Schizosaccharomyces pombe: one gene and its partner. The gene in region 2 interacts genetically with the main gene of each other region. Each region holds a gene or a part of one and is shown on either strand. Other genes may lie near its edges.

Region 1 (5,774 bases), 1.9 Mb from region 2:
GATCAGAATAAGAGCTGACCGGAGACGAGTAAGAATTAGTTTCTGAGGGAGTAGCAGATTCAGAAAAGATACTGGGTTCACTAGAGCTAGTGGGTGTCGCATACCCGTAGTAAGTAGGAGTTCCTCCAGTTTCAGCGGCACGACCATAATATCGGATTTCCTGACGCCTTTGTAGTTCCTCTTGAGAATCTCTGCCCTCAAGTTGATTTAAAGATATTTTTGTGAAGCTGGAATTACCATATATTTGATGCACCAAGAAGGCTTGCGTAAAAATGTTCGATATGCAAAATACGCAAATGAGAGAAAACAAAAGTCTCAAACCCATCTTCAGTTTTAAGGATAATAATAAACTAATCTAACTAAACTCGCTGTATTTTACTTCCAAAAGCAGAGCACTTCCGGAAGTTGTATATGTCCCTAAAGTCTTCCGGTATACTGAGAGGGTAACTTCATGACATATGACCTCGGGTGTTTATAGTACTATGAAATTACGTTATTTCAGTTGAGTGTTAGTTTCTTAACATAAAAAAATAAATAATAGAAGTTATTTATCTATATACTAAAATCGTAAAACCAAAATGCGACTTTTCCTTCTGATCAAGGATTTCACAAATAATTTACGGCTTCAAGATATGCGCTGATTTTTCGGATTTCATACACTGTAAACGCGAGATTTGAAAGCAAAAAAAAGTTGTTAGACTTCTCGAACTTTCATAAATAATCGTATACTTTATTATTAAAATCTACCCAATTTATTTTTTTTTGCAAAATCCATTATAAAGACTTAAAACCGACATTACAAAGAGAGTACGACACCTGCTTCTTTCAAAGAATCAATCATTTCTTGATCGAAATAGCGAGTTGTAGAAACATCTTCCACCAGACCTTTTCTACGTCTTGTCTTAATCAGAAAGTCTCTCGCCAAATCAGAGCCACGTGCGGGTTCTAATGGCTTGGGCTTGATAGACTTATCCAGTGGATCACCAGGTACTACCTGCCAATGATCAAATACCATTTGACACATAGCTTGACCCTGAGTATGCACTCGTAAATCTGTTTCAAATCCACAAGAATCAATGACTGGAATAAGTGCTCTCACCAAATATAATGGGGAACCTGGCCGAGGGATATCTTGGAGGACATGACCACGACGACGCGTTAATAAATCATAAATAATAGGAAGACTGTCAGCGGGGGCATGTACTTCAACCATATACACTGGTTCCATTAGCCGTGGAGACGCTGTTAAAAAAGAAGAATAACACACTCTCCTTGCGGTTGGAATAATTTGACCACCTCCTCGATAAATTTGTTCAGGTGCAAGCACTACATCCATCAGGCGAAAATTCACGTTTCGGATTGTCTCATCACATAGAGGACCTTCCCTAGTCCCCCATTGAAAACCTTGTTTAATGTATTCTTTTACGCTATTAAGCACGTTTTTATCAACATCTGTACTAAGAGTATCATCCCGCAATATATTCGTACCACGATCATCGGGACCAAAAGCCCAGATGGAACGTGAAGCTAGTAAGTCCCAATCGTAGTTCTTTTGGAAAAATTCGCTGATTCTTTTTTGAGGCCAATTGATATTAACTTTTCCATTTTCAATGTCATTAGAAATTCCTTTCTCCAATGGCTCAACTACCATTGTGATACGATTTTTTTTATTTGGAGTATCTGAAAAACACTTGATACTTGATGTGTCCACCGCAGTCTCACAGAAACGAGCAACTGGATCGGAAACTCTGATTTCGATTTCAGAGTATAAAGTCCGAAGATCATAAAGTAGACAATCCATATACATCTCACCAGTACCGAAAATAGTATGTTCCCCAGATTCTTCTACTTTTGTGATAGATAGTGGGTAGCTTTTGTTTGTTTTTCGTAGGCCATCAAGTAGTTTTGGTAATTCTGATGGATTGTGTGGCTCTACAGCCACCTTGAAAACACTCTCGGACATGTGAGCAATTGGCCTGAAAATGTAAGGATCATCTTTCAAATTGTCCGAAACGATGGTTGCTGTTTTGCTAATAGAGTTATCAACACCTCCTAAAAGAACTAGCATGCCGGCAACAGCTCCATCAACGTGAAGACGATATCGTGCGCAAGGTACACATATTTCAGCAATATGAGCAACCACCATATCCTCTTCGTCTTCTAAAGAATAATTTTCTCCAAGAACTTTAACTTTCTGACCCTTTTTAACCTGACCACTATATACACGAGCAAATGCATAAAAATTATTAGCATCGACGGTGTTGTAAAGTTTAGTAACATGCATGACTAATGGTGCTGATTCCTCACGACTCATTTCTAAGATAGCCTTGCCGATACTAGAGTTTATAGGCCCAATATATGATTGAGAGGCTTTACGAGCGGCATTTTCTCGAGGCGATGGAATATGTCTAGTAACTGCATTCACAAAACCAACGGGGAATCCAAAAAACGATGCGCAAATTAGTTGCAAGAGTGGTTTAGGATCTAATAAATAATCCTTGGGTTTTAAATAAATTTGGAAAGAAGATAAGTGTTTTTTGAGTTTTTCGGCTTCGTCAGAAATAGTAAGGGTATGTAATTTATACAACGGTTCTAATATGAAATGGACAAAGCTTCTAACGCCAGAGCCATCCAAGGACTGTTTGGCAAATTTTCTGGTTTTCGAATCGAAATAAATATCCCCCCACAATCTTTTAGAAAATAAGTCCACGTCGATACCTCCATGTCTATCTATATAGAGTTTTGCGAAACTAGACAATGTAAAACAATATCCAAGATCACATGAAGCAAAACAAACGTTCCCTAACTCAGGAGAAACGCGATATTTCAAATCTTTACTAATCTGGCAAATGTTATCGTTTACTTCGTCGATAACGTGTCGAAGTTTATGGTAAGCATCATTCGGAGGGAGACGTAGCTCAAGGATTAACCTATCAACTTTGTTCAAGACGAGCACAATTGGCATATCGTGAAGAATCGCATGTTTGATAATTCTAGTGGTGTTAATCATCACCTAAAGCATGTTAGAATCTTTATATCTTCAAAACGCAAGAAAAGGCCAGAATAACTTACACCTTCAATAACATCAACGACTAATACAACACCATCACTTATGGCCATAGGAGCAGCGACTTCATCAACAAAATCGACATGACCAGGCGTATCGATGCACTGAAATGCAAACGTCTTACCCTTCATATCAGAAACTGCGAGCGTAAGTGGAGTACTTTTTATAGACATCACACGTTCTCTTTCAAGATAATGAGTGTCGGTATATCGAAGTGAACGCCTTTTTGGCGGCTTGGTGTCAGGATGGGTATAATAAACGAGTAAATCTAATAAAGCGCTTTTGCCGTGATGCAGATGGCCAGCAACAATAAAAGATCTAACGTCATCTGTCCCAGTTAAGAGACCGAAGAGGAACCTTAAAAAGTTAGAAAAGACATTGTTACACATACTTACTCTTTCTTGTATACAGTATCTGGGACGTTTGTTGTTTCTATAGCAATCCTTTTGTGACGAATTGGCTCAATAATGGGCTGGCTTAAGGGTTGAGTATCCTGTTCCTGAACCATGATATCCACGTTGGACCCATATACCTCTTCAGCGCTAGGATAATATTGTTTATCCTCGTGAAGAACAACGGCATTCTGAGGCTCTAGATGACTCAACGCCATTTCCTCGGCCCTTTCAACGTCTTCTAATTCTTCATCAGGAATGACCTCTTCAAAGGATGGTACCTGTGCAATTGTAGGGCTAGGAGCCTGAGGAAACAGCTCCTCTTCATCTTCTTCATTTTCAGGGCCTATGTAATTTCCAAACCTGGCGAGTTAGAAATAACTATAAAATGTTTTTAGACCACTTACTCATCATATAAATCCTCTTCCATCATCAGTTACTGCCAAGTACCCACAATGCACAACTTTTGGTAATTACCAAATTTGAAGTAAAGTGTAACCAAGTTTTCGAGCTTTAGCGCATTCATGTCTCAACTGCGATTTATATCTCGTTAAGCTTTGATAATGAGCTAGAGAAATCATTGTCTTTATACTCTCTAAACGAGATATGATCGGCTCAGTAACTTCCACTACACTCTTTAAGGTTGCCGAAGAACGACATCGTCTCATTTTGATAGAAAGGAATGAATCGTAATTATTGAAAACCAAATATACTTTTTTATTTACCAACTTCCTCCTTAAAAGTCGTACATGGGTGTAATTGAGACCTTAAAAGACTGGTTATGTCTACGATTTGAGCTACCGACCCATGTTTAGCAGCCAAATTTATAAGCTTTTCGAAGACAATAGTAAGAGTAAATAGCCATTGTAAAAGTGCGGTGCAAACATTTTTAGAGCGCAAGTTTTGCAACTGTACAAAGTATTTAGTGTGTTTATAAAACACACAACAAATTGCTGAATGTCAATAACACTAATAATATACTGGCATCATCAACTAAATTCAAAAAATGTGTTTCCTTTCAAATACAGTCCTAGAATTGTTATTATGTGCAATGTTTACCTCGATTTACGGAACTGGTCAACCCATTTGTGGTCTCCAAATGATAACTCGTAGTACGATTTGATAGCACGATCAAGCATAATTCAAGAAGATGGAAAATATAAATCCACATTATCTTGAATAGAAAGAAACATAGCAATAAAGATCATTATCGTTATGTGCGACCATCGTTGCTCATGAATAAAAATGGGCTGGCAAAAGAAGACAGAGATACAGTTTAGACAATTCATCCAGCATCAGATTTTGGAACCATAAAATTATCATTAAATTGAATAAGAGCCAAATCAAAAAGGACTTAGCTATTTACTCTAATTCAAAATCCAACCAGCAATATCGTACTATAATAGTATTAGTCATCGTTATGACAATATATTGTCTAACGCGCTCTTACATCATACCACTGGATTCTGTAAATAGGGTATGTAATAAATCAGTTTTCGTGGTTTAAGATAGTCCGCATCAATCCAGCTTATGTAAGGAATACACCATGTAAAATTACTATAAAAGGAAACGGCGTCTGACATCCCACACTTACCGGATCCACTATAGTACTTGATCTTGATTTCTAAGAAAAGCGACAAAAGACACAAAAATGAGTAAAACTGCAGCTTCTTCCGCCGTAGATGCTTCACAAGCTGGGACTGTCAAGGTTGGCGACATGGTTGTCAATAGAATGGGATTCGGAGCAATGAGAGTTACCGGTGATGGTATATGGGATGAACCCAAAGACAAAGAGGCTTGCATCGCAACTTTAAAACGTTTGCCTGAACTCAATATTAACTTTATTGATACCGCCGATTCTTACGGCCCTGAGGTCAGCGAGAATCTTTTACGAGAAGCTTTATACCCTTACAAAGGACTTATAATTGCTACCAAGGGTGGCCTTGTTCGTACAGGTCCAAATGAATGGCATCCTTGTGGAGCACCCAAATTTTTACGTCAAGAAGTACTTATGAGCATGCGTCGACTTGGAGTTAAGCAAATTGACCTCTGGCAACTACATCGCATCGATCCCAAGGTTCCTCGCAAAGACCAATTTTCTGAAATTGCAGCTATGAAGAAAGAAGGATTGATTCGCCATGTTGGATTGAGTGAGGTTACAGTAGACGATATCAAAGAAGCTGAACAGTATTTTCCGGTAGTTAGTGTTCAGAACTTATTCAACCTTGTCAATCGTAAGAATGAGAAAGTGTTAGAATATTGTGAACAGAAGGGAATTGCGTTTATTCCTTGGTATCCCTTAGCTTCAGGAGCAT
Region 2 (6,509 bases):
ATTTACGATGAGTAAAAATACTTGTTGACGTAAATTAAGTTAACGCATTTAGTTTATCTACATGAACGTTATGGCCTTTTGGTCGAAGAAAAATGTTTTCTTAAGTTTTGAAATCTAATTTAACGCAGGTTTACGCTAAACGGTTAAATAACGTTTTTTGTAAGACACGAATATTTTCAGTTCTTCTTTTCCCAAGTAGCGGTGCACGATTTATGCCATTATTTACTCGTATCAATACGTTGACATTTACTTAATCTTTAAATTTTTAATCTCGTTTAGATCAAGAGTGGTGTGTTTTCTGGTTTAAACATTAAAGTAAAGATTTGCGGAGTAAATATTAAGAGAGGTGCAACATGTCAATAGTCTCGTCTGTGGCTTTTGTTCCTCGCGGTTATGCATCAGAGTTTCCCAAGAGTTACGATATTGATGAGATAGAGTATGAGCGAATTAATCAGCTTTCAAAGTTAAAGCTCGAGGATGCTCGAGCTGATCTCCAATCTTCTATGGAAGACTCAAATAAAGCCAATGGGAACGGTGAAGAAACTACAGATGGAGCAGAAGGGGTGTTGCAAACAAGTGAAGAGGTAGATGATGAATTGAAAGTATACAATTTGGATACTTACGATGACGATGAGGAGGAAGCTGAGACAGAAGGGCCCGCTGCTATGTTTAGCAACATTCGTGGATTGGCTTACCATGAAAATGGAGAAAAAGATCCATATATCACTATTGATCCTCAGGAACAGGACGATTTGGAAAGAGAGGAAATGCAAATATTACCAACAGACAGCCTTTTGCTAGCTGCGCGCACAGAAGATAACTTGTCCCACGTTGAAGTGTATGTATATGAGCCAACAGAGGAAAATCTTTACGTGCATCATGATTTTCTTCTCCCTACCTTTCCTCTGTGTCTCGAATGGCTAGATTATAAGGTGGGTACGTCTGACAACGCTCCTGGAAATTACGTTGCTGTCGGCACGTTTGATCCTGAAATTGAAATATGGGATTTAGACATCATTGATGCAGTTTACCCTGCAGCCGTGTTGGGTGCAGGTGCCTCTCAAGTCAACAAGAAAAAGAAGAAGTCTAAAAAAATAAATGATAGTTATCACACAGATGCTGTTCTTGCTCTTTCTTCGAACCGAAATGCTCACAATCTTTTGGTTTCTGGTTCTGCAGATACCACACTAAAGTTGTGGGATTTGAGCACATGCAATTGTGTCAAATCTTTCACGTATCATTCTGACAAAGTTTCTTGCTTAGATTGGTATTCCAAAGCTCCATCCGTATTATTGTCAGGTAGTTATGATAAAACTGCAAAAATAGCTGACCTTCGCCTTGAAGAAGCTCCATCGAGTTTTCAAGTTACTAGCGATGTTGAAAATGTTGCCTGGGATCAACATAGCGAAAACAACTTTTTCATTGGCACTGATAATGGCATAGTTTATTATTGCGATGCTAGAAATCTCTCAAAGTCCGTTTGGCAATTGCAAGCCCATGATGGACCTATTTCTTGTCTCAGTGTTAATCCTTCGGTTCCTTCTTTTGTAGCCACAGGCTCCACTGATAGAGTGGTTAAACTCTGGAACACTTCCGATAGTTCACCGAAGATGGTTGTTTCTAGAGATTTGGATGTTGGACGTGTGTTTACTTGCTCCTTTACTACGGACGAATCAACTGCTTTCCATCTAGCTGCCTCCGGAAGCAAAGGAGTCGTTCGTGTCTGGGACACTGCAACTAATCCTGGTGTTCGAAAAGCGTTTGAAAGTAGAGTTACTGAGGAAGTTACTAAAAAAGAGCGCATCGTTCAGTTAGAAGACAGAGGTGCCGGGGAGGACTCTTCTGATGATGATGACTATGAAGATATAGAAGACGATGATGATCAAGATGCTGAGATGTCCTAATTCTCTTGATTTATTTTAAGATTATAGCTTCATGTTTTCAAAAACTCTCCTAAGAGGCCGCTTCATGGGTTTAAAGGGCTCACTAATTGTATAGAGGATTTTTTGCATAATTCAATATTTGGAAAAAAGGGATCAGGTTAGTTACAATAAATTTCATTTGATTTGGTGTATGATGGTCTTTAAACTTTAGTAAATTCATCCACATTAGTGGAGTAGCAAATGTATGCATTAAGTGTATATTGGGTTTACCGTTACTTGGTAAATTTTGCCTAACAATTCTTTTAATTCATATGACAATTTTTATTTAAACATTGAAGTACTGATAAATTGTTAATTGTCAATTACTCAGGTTCATGATTTTGCACCTTTGGGGGGCCGGAGGGTCTGAGTAAGTTCGCCTTCCGCCAGCAACCTTATTGATTTAGTAGGTATGCTTTCACATAATCAAAATGATTTGCTATTTACGAAGTTAATAGATAAATTAACTGATTATATGTCCAGTAAAGATGCAGCTACATCGCTTGCCAGTCGAGTTTTGACAATTGCCAAGGGTAGCTCGTCCAGCACCGAGTTTTCTAATGCATTACATACATTTGGACGATTTTCCGATAATGACAGCGTCCTTATTTACGATTTATGCAAATCTATAATTGGTTTAGAGACAAATTTGGGGATTTCTAAAGATAAACTTCCTGGGAATGATGGGTCTCAGGTAGCTGGATTAGTTTTGTCTAATCGTTCTGGTTTGAAAGGCCGAGAACCCAAAAAATCCCAGCTTGGATTGGATGTTCTTGCTGTTCAAAAAAAGAAAGAGAAATCTCAAGTAGAAGGGCGCTCTGAATTATCCCAAGTAGAAAATGATTCCTTGGAGTCTATAGGAAACTATGACAGGGTGGAATTTAAGAGACCTAAAAATCCACATGAAAAACATTTTCGTCCCCTTCGTCAACGGTCATCTGTTGACGATCATCAAGAGTTTGAAAGTGAAGATGATAAATATCGTAGAAATTCTTATTCTAGCTGGTCTGGAAGTAATTTCGAGTCTTCCAATGGATCTAATCGTCGGCGGTATCGAACTCAAATGGAAGAACCTTTATCCTCAAAACGCAGAAATCGGTTTGGTAATGGTTCTCGAAGAGACGTCGATAGCTCTAAATATTCGCACGATAGTGATTATTCTTATGGTGCACACAGCTCTTGGGATGCCCGCGACGTTGAGTACCCCGAAGAAGATCCCGAGAGTAAAGCTGATCGTCAACGTTGGGAAGAGGAGCAAGCTCACTTGGATCGTGATTGGTACATGAATTCCGAGTCGCAAAATTTACTTGGCGATGAAGTTCACAATCCATTCTCCGATTTTGAAACTGTCGAAGATCGTGCACATGAAGCTGAGTTTATCGAAAAGCAGAAAAAGCATTTGTCAATTGAAGCATCAGACAGATTTAAAGAAAATTCTATGTGGGAAAAAAATAGAATGATCACATCTGGTGTTTCAAAAGCTCCAGGGCTCGAATCTGATTACTCCCTTATGGAAGAGAGGCGTGTTCACTTGCTTGTCGATGAACTGCGTCCTCATTTTTTGGATGGGGCCGAATTTTCTTCTAAGAAAGTCGGTGATATTACATCGGTTCGAGATCCACAAAGCGACCTTGCAATAAATGCTAGATTAGGATCTCGTCTTGTACGTGAACGAAGAGAATTTCGGGAGCGTCAAAAAGCAGCAAGTGCTGCTACATCCCTTGCTGGTACATCTTTGGGTAACGTGATGGGTCTCAAAGATTCTAATGATGAAGATGCCAAGGCCGGTACCACACCTGTTAAAGTAGCTGGACGTTCTGAACAGTCGAATAAGAAGGATACTGAGTTCGCTCGCACGAAATCATATAGAGAACAAAGAGAGTTCCTACCTGCCTTTGCCGTGCGTGAACAGCTTCTTTCTGTTATACGTGATAACCAAGTTCTTATTGTAGTTGGTGAGACTGGTTCTGGTAAAACTACCCAATTAGCTCAATTCTTATATGAGGATGGCTATCATAGAAATGGCATGATAGGGTGTACTCAACCTCGTCGTGTCGCCGCCATGTCAGTTGCAAAAAGGGTTAGTGAGGAAATGGGTGTTCGTCTAGGTTCAACAGTTGGTTATTCAATTCGTTTCGAAGATGTTACTGGACCGGATACCGTAATTAAGTACATGACTGACGGTGTTTTACTAAGAGAATCCTTGATGCAAAATAATCTAGAAAAATATAGCGTCATTATAATGGATGAAGCACATGAGCGATCCCTTAATACAGATATTTTAATGGGTTTACTAAAAAAGGTGTTATCCAGGAGAAGAGATATCAAGTTGCTCGTTACATCCGCTACTATGAATTCCCAGAAATTCTCTGATTTTTTTGGAGGCGCCCCACAGTTTACAATTCCAGGTCGTACTTACCCGGTGGATATTATGTTTGCTAAAGCCCCTTGCTCTGATTACGTTGAAGCAGCTGTACGACAGGTATTGCAGATTCACCTCTCTCAGCCTGCAGGTGATATCTTAGTTTTTATGACAGGGCAGGAAGATATTGAAGCTACATGCGAGATCATTGCAGATAGGTTAAATCAGTTGCATGATGCACCACGCTTGTCCATTTTGCCTATCTACTCACAAATGCCTGCGGATTTACAAGCAAAAATTTTTGATTCCGCCGAGCCAGGTGTTAGAAAGGTTGTGGTCGCAACTAATATTGCGGAAACTTCGCTCACTGTGCACGGAATATCATATGTTGTAGATACTGGATATTGTAAACTGAAAATGTATAATTCTAAGTTGGGTATTGATACTCTGCAAGTTACACCTATTTCGCAAGCTAATGCGAATCAAAGAGCCGGTCGTGCTGGGCGTACTGGACCCGGTATTGCATATCGCCTTTATACCGAAATGGCTTATATTCGTGAAATGTTTGAAACGACCTTACCTGAAATTCAGCGTACCAATCTATCAAACACAGTTCTTATTTTAAAATCCCTTGGTGTTGAAGAAATTTCGGATTTTGATTTCATGGACCGTCCTCCAAATGATACGTTAATGGCATCTCTGTATGAATTATGGACTTTAGGAGCCCTCGACAATTTTGGAAAACTTACTACTTTAGGAAAGAAAATGTCGTTATTTCCAATGGATCCTTCTCTTTCAAAACTTATTATTATTGCTGAAGATTATAAATGTACTGAGGAAATTATTACGATTGTTTCCATGCTTTCAGTTCCGTCTGTATTTTATAGACCCAAGGAAAGAGCTGAAGAGAGTGACGCTGCAAGAGAAAAGTTTAATGTGCCAGAAAGTGATCATTTAATGCTACTCAATATTTATCAGCATTGGCAAAGAAATGGATATTCAAATTCATGGTGCAGTAAACATTTTTTACACTCGAAAACTCTTAAACGGGCGCGCGATATTCGTCAACAGCTGGTCGAAATTATGTCAAAGCAAAAGATTAGTTTAGAATCTGTATCCGATTGGGACATTGTTCGGAGAGTTTTGTGTTCTGCGTACTTTCATCAAGCAGCATGCGCTAAAGGTATTGGGGAGTATGTTCATTTACGAAGCGGCATGCCTTGCCATCTACATGTTACTTCGAGTCTTTATGGCTTAGGGTATCTACCTGATTATGTTATATATCACGAACTTGTACTCACTTCCAAGGAGTACATGAATATTGTCACCAGTGTTGATCCATACTGGCTAGCTGAGTTTGGTGGAGTTTACTACTCTGTGAAGGAAAGATTCCGAAATGAAACTGAAAGCTATGATCGAGTTTTTTCTAGCAAACCTCAATTGGATGCACAGATAGCCGCCGACCGAGAACTTGATGCAAAGCAAAAGCTTGCGAAGAATCAAGAACCCGTGAAATCAAAACGAAAGTCAGTGATACGTGCCAAACCTCCTAGAAGGGTTCGTGGATTTTAATGAGAACTCTGCAAAAAGGTTCCCATCTCAAAATTCTATGTAAATTATGTTATGAATAATGTGCTAGGTTTATGGTAATAAAGAAATTCAGTTATTAACATTTTTTTATTATTTTAAATTGAGAGGATTAATAAATTCATTAAGAAAGTGAAAAATAGTTTTTTAGCAGTAATTATAAAGAACGGGATTTGAAAACATTTATATACATAATTACCTTCTGCCGTTCCAAAGCGGCCATCTATTTTCCATCCAGCGTTCTAACTTATCCCACAATTGACTGACTACTTCACGATCAGTATGTCGTCGTAATCTTTCCACAAAAATGCCTTCTACATTCCAGTCATGTGTTGCAGGATGAGGAGGATCACCAACGTATTGAACCAAAAATCCTTTAACATGATGAAAAAGCTGGTGCGGTTCTGACCATTTATAATCTCTAAACTGCCAAGCTTGGCCTGTTGTAAAAACGCAAACGACGCGATCCCAATAGTCAGGTTTAAACTTTTCTGTACCTTCTACGATAATAAAACGCATTGTTCCAAATTTTGAATTCGAGCTTTTGTGGGACAGAGCAATAAGCTCAGGACCACGACCACCACCAGCTGCATGAGCGGCTTCAGCTGGAGGAACAAAAATACCTTCTTCCAAAAATT

The links.
Region 1: of prp16 (region 2) and cwf10, a mutation in one rescues a mutant of the other (synthetic rescue), as found in Schizosaccharomyces pombe (one study listed by BioGRID).

The regions. Positions count from the first base shown.
Region 1 is NC_003423.3:4,050,719-4,056,492, reverse strand, and holds cwf10 (GTPase Cwf10), read right to left. Parts: upstream 3,938-5,774; 5' UTR 3,893-3,937; coding exon 3,867-3,892; exon of another isoform or gene 3,823-3,866; coding exon 3,463-3,822; intron 3,425-3,462; coding exon 3,073-3,424; exon of another isoform or gene 3,014-3,072; coding exon 797-3,013; 3' UTR 514-796; downstream 1-513. Other genes in the region: protein Mtl3, read right to left, coding at 1-325; SPOM_SPBC215.11C (aldo/keto reductase family protein), read left to right, coding at 5,111-5,774. UniProt on the Schizosaccharomyces pombe protein: Component of the U5 snRNP complex required for pre-mRNA splicing. Binds GTP.
Region 2 is NC_003423.3:2,163,925-2,170,433, forward strand, and holds prp16 (ATP-dependent RNA helicase Prp16), read left to right. Parts: upstream 1-2,300; 5' UTR 2,301-2,334; coding exon 2,335-5,856; 3' UTR 5,857-6,009; downstream 6,010-6,509. Other genes in the region: pwp1 (WD repeat protein), read left to right, coding at 354-1,904; Cdc73 family RNA polymerase II accessory factor, read right to left, coding at 6,067-6,509.